Linked DNA regions of Lytechinus pictus. The protein of the gene in region 2 interacts with the protein of the main gene of each other region in a pairwise test. Links are inferred from orthologs where the notes say so. Each region holds a gene or a part of one and is shown on either strand. Other genes may lie near its edges. The genes, in order: structural maintenance of chromosomes protein 4-like, TRAF3-interacting protein 1-like and cell division cycle 5-like protein.

Region 1 (3,758 bases), on a different chromosome or scaffold from region 2:
TTCATACTGTAATTGTAGATCTAAGGTGGCTTGGTAGTGGTAGGGGATACGTCACATATCAACACATAACACTGATTCTTTGCTTGGATGTCCCTTTAATTTTCCTTCTCACTGAGAGCCTCCCTACCTTATTGACATGGACTGGACACACCGCAATGAGAGATCGGAGCGGGGTATAAATACACAAAGTATATAGTAAATGAATTTATAAATTAAATTTTTGGCATTTTGTAAAATATTGTTAAGTATACTAGTACAATAAATGAAATGGGAAATTTAAATCAGACAAACATGGATCTAAACATTAATAAATCCATTTAATACACCATGGTCATTTTTGCATTCTCATCTACATGTACATGATCTAAGTTTTCCATCGCGAGGATCGCCCTAAAAATGTCAAAAAGTTTCTATCTGACCGATGTTAGTGATCGTGTATGGTAACAGCGTGTTGCCATTTTGATGATTTTGAATAGTCACTGACAAGAACATCGTCATTTTTTCGTCAAATATTAAAAATCCTAGGCCCTTGGCCTTGCTCGGCGATGAGATCATATTGAGATTCTGCCTGCACCGTACACGTACTGTACATGTACGTACATGTGTACTATCGCTGTTGCGTGCGTGATTTGTTCAAAACACTGACCAAAGTAAATCTTTGTGCATACTTGCTGGAGCGCGGCGCGGGCGCATTGTTGCATGGCCATGGCTGGGTTGATTCTACGAGTTTGACTAACGTTATGGTTGAGCATGCAGCATCATTCCATTCACAAGAAAAAAAGAAAAGATTTACAGGTATTTACAAGATACCGGGTATACAAGTAATTGTGCGAGTGAAAAGCTTATATAAATGTTTTATATCAGTTTTGAATCTAGATCTATGTCAAAATAGTAAAATAATAAATTATTTTAAGAATTTGATTTTCAAACGCGGGCCAAATTTCATAACGCGGACGGGCGACGGAAAACTCAACATCGAGTTTCAGCGGCCTTACCTTGATGTATTCTTTATTAGCATTATTATCACAGACATTGCTCGAAACTTACCTCAAAATTTCCTAAATAGTGAAAGATACTCCACAAAATGTGCTGGAAAATGCATATTGGTCCATCCCTATATGCTATACTGTGTGGGCTAGTGGCTAAAAATAGGCATTTCAAAGTCTTTAAATGCTGACCTAGACTGTGTGAGCCTCTGAGTGGGGCAGTGGAAACATGTCACATCAATAGATAATCAACTTGGCTGCCAGAAAATGTGAAGAAATCACTAAGTTGGTCTACATTGTTCACTCAAAATATAGAAAGAATATTCGAGGCCAACTAACCAACGGTATTGACATTTTGGACACATGTCTACAGCACAAATCTAGTGCCATTTTCTGGCCTACCCTAGTAATAGTATTGTGTTCAAATAATTCCTTGAGACACTGTAGAATCAGTCAGTTTATTTATTGACTCAGTGCTTATTTTTTCCTTATCTATATTCACCAGGACTGCAACAAGATGCCAGTGTTAGCGGAACCAGAGCAAGGCAAGGCTGAGGGTGAAGCAGAAAGCCAGCCCATGGACACCAATGAGTCCATACCTCAGGAACCCTCGACTCCCACAGCACAACCCAGGCTCCTGATCACGCAGATTGTGACTGAAAACTTCAAGTCTTACGCAGGCAAAGTAGTCCTCGGCCCGTTCCATAAGGTAAGTTGGTGTAGAACATGAAGCAGTCTTGGATTGTCCCTATGTCGAACGTTTCCATCTAAAATTTTGTTGGGGACAAGGCCAGAATTAGAATCCGGTTGCAGAGAATGTCCATTTTGATAGCACAAGTTTCACATGTGACAGAATTGTTATTGATTTTCAGCTCTATTGAAAACTACTGTACCAGGATTTATAGTTGTGAATATGTATGTACTAAATTTCTGCCCTGCTTACCTGAAAAGAGAATAAAGGAGTAAGAGAGAGAGAGAGGGAGAAAGAGTTCAATCCAAGTTTGATATTATTCCAGAGAATAATTTTTCTTCTCGAATTGGATTAGCATTTCTGGTTGTGAGAGATTTCAACTATGTTCTGGTTCTTTTTAGTCATATATACCAGAAAATAATTCAGAAATTTTGTGGAGTAATCCTAAAAAAATGTGGAGTAATTTGTGATGTGCTACCAGGAAAATTATTCCACGGCTGTATTTATATGCAGAGTTTCTCTTGCATTATTGGGCCGAATGGAAGTGGAAAGTCTAATGTCATCGATTCCATGCTGTTCGTCTTTGGCTACCGTGCTTCAAAGATTCGATCCAAGAAACTGTCAGTTCTCATCCATAAGTCGGAGGATCACAAGGACCTGAAGAGCTGCACCGTAGCTGTCCACTTTCAGAAGATCATTGATACAGGGGTGAGTAAGAGGTTTTTTTAGGAAACTTATGAAAATTATGTTGGTTTAACTCCGGCATACAATGCATAATCTATTGTGATAATCTGATATTAAAGAAATTGTAGTAGCATTTGATATGAATATTCCTACCTATAAAACCTTATTAAAAAGATACCGATCAAAGTTCCGAATAGTGATATACACTGTATGATCTAATTGAAATTCTTGCATTCCTGTCGAAAAGATAATGAAAGCATATTCAATTCCAAATTGTAATGACGTTATCATCAACTGCAACTTAAAGATGATTTGAATACTACTCAGGTCAGAAGGCTTGCATCAAAAGAGAATTTGAATTTTAGTATTCCTCGCATTTACACATATATGCCAAACTTCAACTGGAATAATTTTACTTCTTGAAACTTTCATATTTTATGAAAAATTCATTTCTTTGTAAATCGTACCGTAGTTGAATCGTGTAGGGTGAGCAACTTTACGAATGACTGGTGATCCTTTCTTGAGAAAAGTTATAAATGCGCACCAAATAATCATGGGTGTGAATTTAGCTCATGAGAAATGACTCGGTCATTCGTAAAGTCGCTTGTAACTTTGGAACTGCTTTGTGAAACGCCCCTCGATGTATTTCCCTATATTGAATAGGCCGGGGTCGATGAGTACGAAGTGGTACCCAACAGTCAGTTTGTGGTGTCAAGGACAGCGCACAAGGACAACAGCAGCAGCTACTACCTGGACGGAAAGAAGGTCAACTTCAAAGAATGCACGGCTCTCCTCAGGCAAGCTGGAGTAGACCTCGATCACAATAGGTTCCTCATCCTACAGGTCAGTAGCGTAATAAGCCAAACATTTTAAGGGGGCCAGAAATGGTGTATGGGGCAAAATTTCTTTAACAGCTGCGAGTGAGTCTAAATTTTGACCTTTTTATCACAAAATCTAATTTTGTTATCAATAGAGTTTGAAATAATATGTAGAAAAATAATATTATATTTCAGCTCTTTCCTTGCCAATTCCTTTCTCCCTGTTTTCTTGGTCGTGAAAATTTTTGGGGGTCCATGGCCTTCCAAGCTCCCCCCCCCCATTCATTTGTGTGCCAGTGCTATGACCTAACACTGCATGGGGGGGGGGGGGGGGCAAAGCTACATTAGCATAGCAAATACATGAGGATGATGGGCAATTTTGCCCCTATGCCAGCTCAAATCGCCCCTAAAATGCCATAAATTGCATGCTGTGGGGTAACCATCCAACAATATTCAGGAATAAGAAATTTCAGCTCTGAGTGTAATGAGAAATTAATTTTCTACATTTGGTAGAATAATGGTATTTACATTTACTGCACAATTTGCTTACTGGTTGCATAAAACATATGCCCTGAAAGT
Region 2 (3,758 bases):
GTTCTTTACTTTTTCCCCTTCATTCTTTCCTCCCTCTCTTTCATTCTTTCTTTCATTCTTTATTTTCATTTTTCCTTCCAATTATTTTCCCTTATTCTTTAATCTTTCCCTTCCTTCCTCTTTTTCAAAGAATGACGGAAACATTTTTTTCTTTCTTCCTCCTTTTTTTTTACTCTGTTTTCCTTTCTCCTTCATTTTTTCTTTCACACATTTCATCTGCTTTCTTTCTTCTTTTCCTTTCTCTCCTTCATCTTTTGTTCACCCTCCCTTCCTTTTCATTACAATTTGTTTACAGGCCCAATATTGTGTAGCCTTCTTTGCTGATATTTTTTTTTATTAAGACCTGGCTCGGTCCATCCAGCTTGGTCGATCCACTCGTCGATTGTTCCGTATTTCATTTTGTAAAATCTGGTCACCCTGTCTAGAACCTATATGGCAAGTTCCCCCAAGTCTGCGCAGTCCCCCTTGTCTGCGCACTCGCATATCTGCGCGATTCTAGTAAAAGAAGATACGCAACGAACACAGACTTTACACATGCAATACATAGACAGGTATTCATTAAAAAATCCGACTCAAAATAATGGAAAATAATGAATTTAGGGCATTTCATGTGACGGCCACGAAATGCAGTCTTTCTCATCAAAATCCCTGAATCGTGTGCAAAGTGAATGAGTGCGCAGACATGGGGTATAGTCACGTATTGTATTACCGGACACTATTATGATTCCGGACGCGCATATTACTGCGTTCAAAAACAATTTCGTACTGTAAGACTTCCGCAATTCAATTTCACATAGCAATACATACATTGGTTGTAAAACAAGATTGCAAAAACAAGGCGAAAAAATCAAACTTTTACCTTATTTATCTCTAAAATGACAGAAAATGCTTAAAATATCATATAACATAGTTTTGCATTAACAATTGATATATTTTATAACGGAAATATGGGCCTGATTTGCCGAATTTCAATCTCGTCCACTCCTCCGATCGAATGATGAGGTGTGGTGTATTGTGGGTGATCGTCGACGGCTAGTTCTCGAGGTACCTGTGCGGGAGGTTTACCGTGAGTAGAGCCGTCGATCGGCAGCGCATCGATAGAACTTGATGAGCATCACGATACGAACGCGAGCATATATTATTGGAAAGTGCCATGGAACATGCAGCTAACAAGAAAAAATGAATAAGTTATCAAACACAAATTTATTACCAACATCTGCTCATATTCAATATAAAAAGCAATTAAAAAATTAGAATTTACTCATGATATGAAATAAGAAGAAAAAAATCACACAAATTTGTTCTTACATCATTATAATCAAGGATATCTTTACCCGTCCGGCGCGCGTCCGGAATCATGATGTAATTTGTCGCGTACGAAAATAATTGTTTTTCGTGGAGGGGTATGCGTCAACTGCGATGCAAAGAAAATGGTTGGTAAATAGAAAATAATTTTATCATATTCATAGTTTTCATAATATTTGGAATAGCAAGTGTGATTTTTTTCTTGATTGTATTTCCTCTAGTTGTCATTTTTAAAGCACTGAAATAAAGGTGTCCGGCAATAGGATACACTGCCATACCGGTATAGTGAGTGATTGTATTACCGACCGGTCTTGTATTACCGAACGTGCGCATCATACGCATCAGAAAATAATTCCATACGCTCAAAATTTTGCAACATCCTTTCAAAGAGAACTTGAATAGAAAGATGATGAAAAATTGTCAAAAACACAATTTCAAAGTCTTAATATTCGAAAAATAATAAGATATGGTCAAAATAGCGCATCAGTGATTTTGTTGTTTTCTCAACTTTTCCCATAGAAAACACACGTTCGGTAATACGATACCTTTTTCAAGTGACCAAAATATTTCACATGCGAAGAGGGGTCCGATTGGAAGCTAATATCGTAAATAGGACAAACGATTTCGGCAAAATGTTTACATATTTATATTTTGTAGGTAATTGTGTATTCATGGTGAAAGTTTGGTGAAGTTTATGAGAATAGTGTGTTTGATATGATTGAATTCATGAAAGGTGTTCGGTAATAGTTCTACGATCCACTACCATACCATTTTTTTTTTCAATCTGAAAATGACTGCCCAAGGTTTTTTCAAGAAAATCCTTTATTTTCTTTCATTTTTCAATGAGAAATTTGGGACACTTACTAATAATAATATAGGCCTAAGGAACATTATTAACTGAAAGATTTTGTGAAATAAGAAGAATTTCATGTTAAATCTTAACTCAAAATCAAATTGTTAGGTGCGCAGACTTGGTTGGGGCCCACCATCATAAAACAAAACAAAGCAGATAACAAACAAGAAATGCAGGGGTGAAATTATCTATGAGTATGACGTCTGCATCGTAATTTCTTCATGTGCACAGAATCACTGCATGTGGAAGTTAAATTGCATTGACATTCAATCCATTGGCACTTTACAATTACACGTTCGATAGAATCGAGATCCAACTTGTTTTAGTTTACCTCTGTGAAAACGTCGTGTAGAAATCTGAATGGAGGTTTCTTCAGCAGCTTCTCTGTCATCGGTGGTTTTTTTATGATTTTCCCAAGAGAATCCTGGGTTTTCTTAATATATTCCTCTCCCATTATGTTCTAGTAGAATGTCACCTCATATCTCTATCCGAAACTGGGTAAGATTCTCCACGAAAACGAACAAGATGAGGCTCGTTACTCCTGTTGGTAACCGGTTTTTTCCTAGAAACGGGACGCCATTTCGATGACAAATTATTGTAATTGGAATTTCACAACGGAGAATTTGTCTCCTACTCTAGGCCGTAGAGGGCGAGTAACTAAAAAGTGCGTATTAAAAAAACGGGACAGTTTAGAAAAGTCTATCAAAATTTTGTTTCAAATTATGATGTCTATATTTTGATGTTAATAGATGCTCTGATGTCTTATCTTTCTAATGCTTTTTTTAAAGAAAATAGTTCCGTTCATGCTTGAGCGAACACAAGACGTTTTTGTGAGGGGTTCAAAAACAGGCTTGCGCCAAATGCCAGAAAATTAGACAATATTGATCATCGTGTGTGTGTGTGTGTAGTTGAGTTTTGTCAGACGTGTATCAATCAGATATGATTATTTACGTCTGGGACCGACCTTTAACGTCACCATCCGAAAGACGTGACCAGGGCTCGAACCTCTGCATCAATTTGTAACTTCCCCACATAGCTTGGATTACAGGCGCACGCCACAACGCCAGTGCAGTGGCGTAGCTACGGGGGGGCCTGGGGGGGCACGTGCCCCCCCTGAGATTTGGTGTGCCCCCCCAGGTGCCCCCCCTGAAAAAAAATGGCAGAGCAAAAAAAAAAGGGAGAAAGAAGAAAAGAAAAAAGGAAAAGAAGAAGAAAGACAGAAGAAAAAAAAGAAGAGGAAATAAGAGGAGGAAGACGAGTGAATGATATAATGTGAGGGGAAGACTTGCAAAAAAAAAATCCTTCATGTTACTTTATAAATTTTTTTCTTGCGCTTCGCGCCAGAATTGCCTGTTCGATGAGATTCATATCTTGCTCAATAGGCTGATATGGAGCAAGTTTTGAAGTCAATATACAAAACATATTTTAGCTCGGACATCGAGCTTTCATTATTTTTTTTCATTTACAAATTTAAGTGCTCTGTAAAATGTCCATTTTATGGTCTACATATCAGCATTTTAAGCTCACGCTGCGTGGTCACATTGTTTGATTTGCCAAGTTCATATTGTCTACGTGTCCCGGCTACGTGTATTCCATAATG
Region 3 (3,758 bases), on a different chromosome or scaffold from region 2:
ATTAAGAAAATGAGAAATCTGCTTTCCATAATTGAAATTTGTATTTGGAATAAAAAAAAAAACCTTCACATAATCAGCAGTCTCTTATGAATTAAAAGTTGTGTGAAAGAAAATATAAAAAAAAGATTGACAAAATCTACCTAGATTGTAACATAAATTTTTCCACCAAAAATATTTTCATCTTCTGAAGATGTAAACATAGTCAAATCTGAAAAGATAGAGATTATGATAGTTTAAATGAATAACACAAATAAACTAGATTCATATAAAAAAAATTCAATCTTAGCCATTGGAAAATTTAAGACTAACACTGTAACAGTAAAAGTGAAACTACCTTTATTTATTTTGTCTTGGACTTTCTTTGCATCTTCCAGTCCTTGATCAAAGCACTCTGTTACAATAGCATTCAGCTCTTTACAGCGCCTTGCCCTCTCTGCACATCTGGAACAGAGCTCAGTGACCGAAAGCCGACCATCACGTAAGCGAAGAGCAATCTGCAATGATGGAAATTTAAAAAAATGAAACTTTGATTTGAAAAATAAACTTTTCATGCTTCAATCTACATGTATATTTACATCTGGAAAATAATATTAATAAAGTTAAGTCTTAAGGCTATAGTATATCTATGTTCCGCAACTTTGACTTTGAGTGGATTATGTCAAGAACAAAATTATCAAATAAATCAAGTGATCACCCATCAGGCGATTATTAGCCCCTCAAGGCTCAAGCTCAACTAACTTATAGTATACCCAGAAAATAGTTTTTAAACAGGTAAGGAAATAATTTAGATCCCAAATTGTTTGGCATTTATGTAGATCTTATTCTAATTTTTAGTTAGAAATTATGGAATTAACCGAACACACATCAACTTAATTAAGTCTTAACCACATGTATGTATGGTGATATAGATCTAGGCCATAGACTATAGTGACTGATAGATTTGCATACTGATCTATGATATGCCGCCCCCACCCTTTCCCCTCGATCACATGCTGCAGTCCCAGGCCCAAACTTGCCAAAGTCAACAAATTCACGAGTGAAGAGTAATCAATATTGCAATAACATAAGCTCTCACAATTTTTTGAGTTTGTGGGACTGAGGTGAACAAAATAATTCCCTGTAAATTAAAAAAAAAAAAGTCAATTTAAACATTTACTTCAGAGAAATACATACTACTTTTACATGAACAAAGAGCCGAACAAAAGATATAACAGAAACATAAATTATATTTACCTCACGAATAGATAAACCGAACATTTTTCGTAAATCTAACTGTTATTGGAAAAGTCGCAGCGCACTCAACTGTCGCGAGAGAAAACGTAGATTTTTGTCCAGTCGTTTTATCAATTATCTTTAAAATGCGCGGCGCAAAAGTACGTGCATTCTCTCTTTCTTTTCCGGTTAGCGCCTAGCGCATAGCTAGGAGAATAAACTACAACTCGTTGCGTGATATTCTCCCTTTTCACTTCTCAAACCTGAATTTTGACAAGAAAGACTGTGAAAATGCCACGAATCCAGATTAAAGGAGGTGTTTGGAGGAACACTGAAGTAAATATTTATGTTTTAGTCTTATTCTCCCTTAAAAATATGTTAGTTTGAGTTAAAATCCATCAGAAATTTCAGTTAAATCGGCGATCTTTGCAAAAAAAACTTGCATGTTTTGCAGTGTATGACGTGCTTTTTGAGTGTGTATTGTGCATTTTAGGGTAGTGTGAGAAAGAAAATTCAAAATTGAAGGTGTTGAAGGATCAGAAATTCAGAATTAAGGAAAAAGAAATGGTTTTAACTTTTATTGTGGCAAGTTTAACACCCATCATTAATGGCATGCCTCATTAATTTAAGTTAAATTAATTTATTTCAGTCATCAGTCACTATCACTCAGTCATTTTGATTCGAAGTGGAGACCGTCCCGATGCCAGGACGTTACTGGGCCAGGGCCAGGCCCTTGGCCTTCATAAAAAATGGCCAACAGAGAATTTAAAAACAAGGGCCATCAAATTGAAATACATTATATGAACATATTTTTTTTTAATGCACCAAGTATAGAAGACATCACGTCGAGACGGGAGATCTTATGGGACACTCTTTATTTTTTTTACGGAGATTACGGAAAAGAATCCGTGTAACTTTTAGAATATTTTGTCTAGCTACAAATAGGTCAGTTTTACCCCTAATTCATCATAAAATTTAATTTGTTTATTGGGGTAAAAATGTTTTAAACAAAAGGATTTAAGGCGTTTTAAAACAAAAAAACTTTAATGTTATAATACAACCCTGTTTTAAAGATTAAATGACCTCAGTCCTCCTCAGTCCACATGTCTGCTGCTTGTGAGGCTTGACTTACTCTTCTGGTGAGAATTTATTCATGGATTTTAAGTACATTTAAGTGCAGGTAATCAATGTATATCCACATGGATTAAGATGTATTTCGATATAAATTAGAAATATTTATTAGTATGATTTCATAATTGAACTTTGAAGGGTTTTATTTTTCAATAACCTATTATCCTATTTCTTTTGTGCATTAGGATGAAATCCTCAAGGCAGCTGTGATGAAATATGGCAAAAACCAGTGGTCTAGAATTGCTTCACTGTTACACAGGAAATCAGCTAAACAATGCAAAGCAAGATGGTAAGTTACATCAATTTATCATGGGGATGTAGTGTTTTCTTAAAACTGTCCATATGGAAGGTATTCCTAATTCCTTATCAAATGTGTAGATATTTCATTTGCTTGTGCGTTGAAATTAGAATTCAGCTTTTCTCTTGTTCTTCATCTTAGGTTTGAATGGCTGGATCCGAGTATCAAGAAAACAGAATGGAGTCGAGAGGAAGATGAGAAGCTCCTACACCTGGCTAAGCTCATGCCTACCCAATGGAGGACCATTGCACCCATTGTGGGACGTACTGCAGCACAGTGTCTGGAAAGATATGAAATCTTACTGTAAGTTACGATCTCACTCTTCAGTGAGATTTTAAATCTAATTTATAGGCCTTTGGAGTTTGAAATGGTTATCAAATTGTAATTCTTGTGCTCTGATTACTTCTGTATTGTGCAGTTTTGTTCACAATTGCTCTGCCAAGCAATGAGATTCAATTTGTCGTAACTCATTTATGAATGTATCATTATCTATTGCAAACCTATTGATGTATTGGCTTTGGTATCTATATCATCACTTATACATGTTTAAGTGTCTCTGAATACATAACAGTTATGTATTCAGAGATTTGAGGAACACATGCGTAACAAACCAATCATACAGCATGTATTTCGCATTGAAATTGAGACACAGAGGCCATACTGTTTGCTTGCTTGGTTGTAATAGATATAACATTAACTTTTGATGGAAAATGAATGAGTATTGATATCAAACTATGATTTAGGCTCGTACCTTTGTTTTAATAAAGCAACAGCCTTTGTGGAGTTGTCATGTTCAAGTGGTCAAAGGAACCCTATTACACATGAAGGTACAGGGTTCAAAACCTGACCACAGCACATGTGCCTCTGAGCAAGGCAATTTATTGTCACTGCCCTGTCATGTCTTATGAATGGCTACTTTAAAGGTTCGTCCAAGATAAAATAATCCTGTACGATACACATCTGTAAAATCAAAAGTCTCATGAATACAGATGAAAGTCTTGACTTCAAGTTTGAGAGCACACATGGGAAATTTACTTCCTAATATTACCTTTTTAGATAGATACATGTATGAAATATAGTATTTTAGAAAGATGTTTTTAACCTTGAGTAACTAGTT

Evidence for each region.
Region 1: the proteins of TRAF3-interacting protein 1-like (region 2) and structural maintenance of chromosomes protein 4-like interact in a two-hybrid assay, tested with the Homo sapiens proteins (2 studies listed by BioGRID and IntAct). The link is inferred for Lytechinus pictus from reciprocal best matches to the Homo sapiens genes TRAF3IP1 and SMC4.
Region 3: the proteins of TRAF3-interacting protein 1-like (region 2) and cell division cycle 5-like protein interact in a two-hybrid assay, tested with the Homo sapiens proteins (2 studies listed by BioGRID and IntAct). The link is inferred for Lytechinus pictus from reciprocal best matches to the Homo sapiens genes TRAF3IP1 and CDC5L.

What each region holds. Positions count from the first base shown.
Region 1 is NC_087260.1:4,780,754-4,784,511, reverse strand, and holds the start of structural maintenance of chromosomes protein 4-like, read left to right. Parts: upstream 1-1,465; 5' UTR 1,466-1,503; coding exon 1,504-1,695; intron 1,696-2,190; coding exon 2,191-2,385; intron 2,386-3,024; coding exon 3,025-3,204; intron 3,205-3,758. UniProt on the Homo sapiens protein: Central component of the condensin complex, a complex required for conversion of interphase chromatin into mitotic-like condense chromosomes.
Region 2 is NC_087247.1:57,292,503-57,296,260, reverse strand, and holds the start of TRAF3-interacting protein 1-like, read right to left. Parts: upstream 2,784-3,758; 5' UTR 2,613-2,783; coding exon 2,490-2,612; intron 1-2,489.
Region 3 is NC_087248.1:5,496,421-5,500,178, forward strand, and holds the start of cell division cycle 5-like protein, read left to right. Parts: upstream 1-1,353; 5' UTR 1,354-1,503; coding exon 1,504-1,548; exon of another isoform or gene 1,549-1,691; intron 1,692-2,528; coding exon 2,529-2,632; intron 2,633-2,782; coding exon 2,783-2,944; intron 2,945-3,758. Other genes in the region: glutamyl-tRNA(Gln) amidotransferase subunit A, mitochondrial-like, read right to left, coding at 335-494, 1,234-1,257.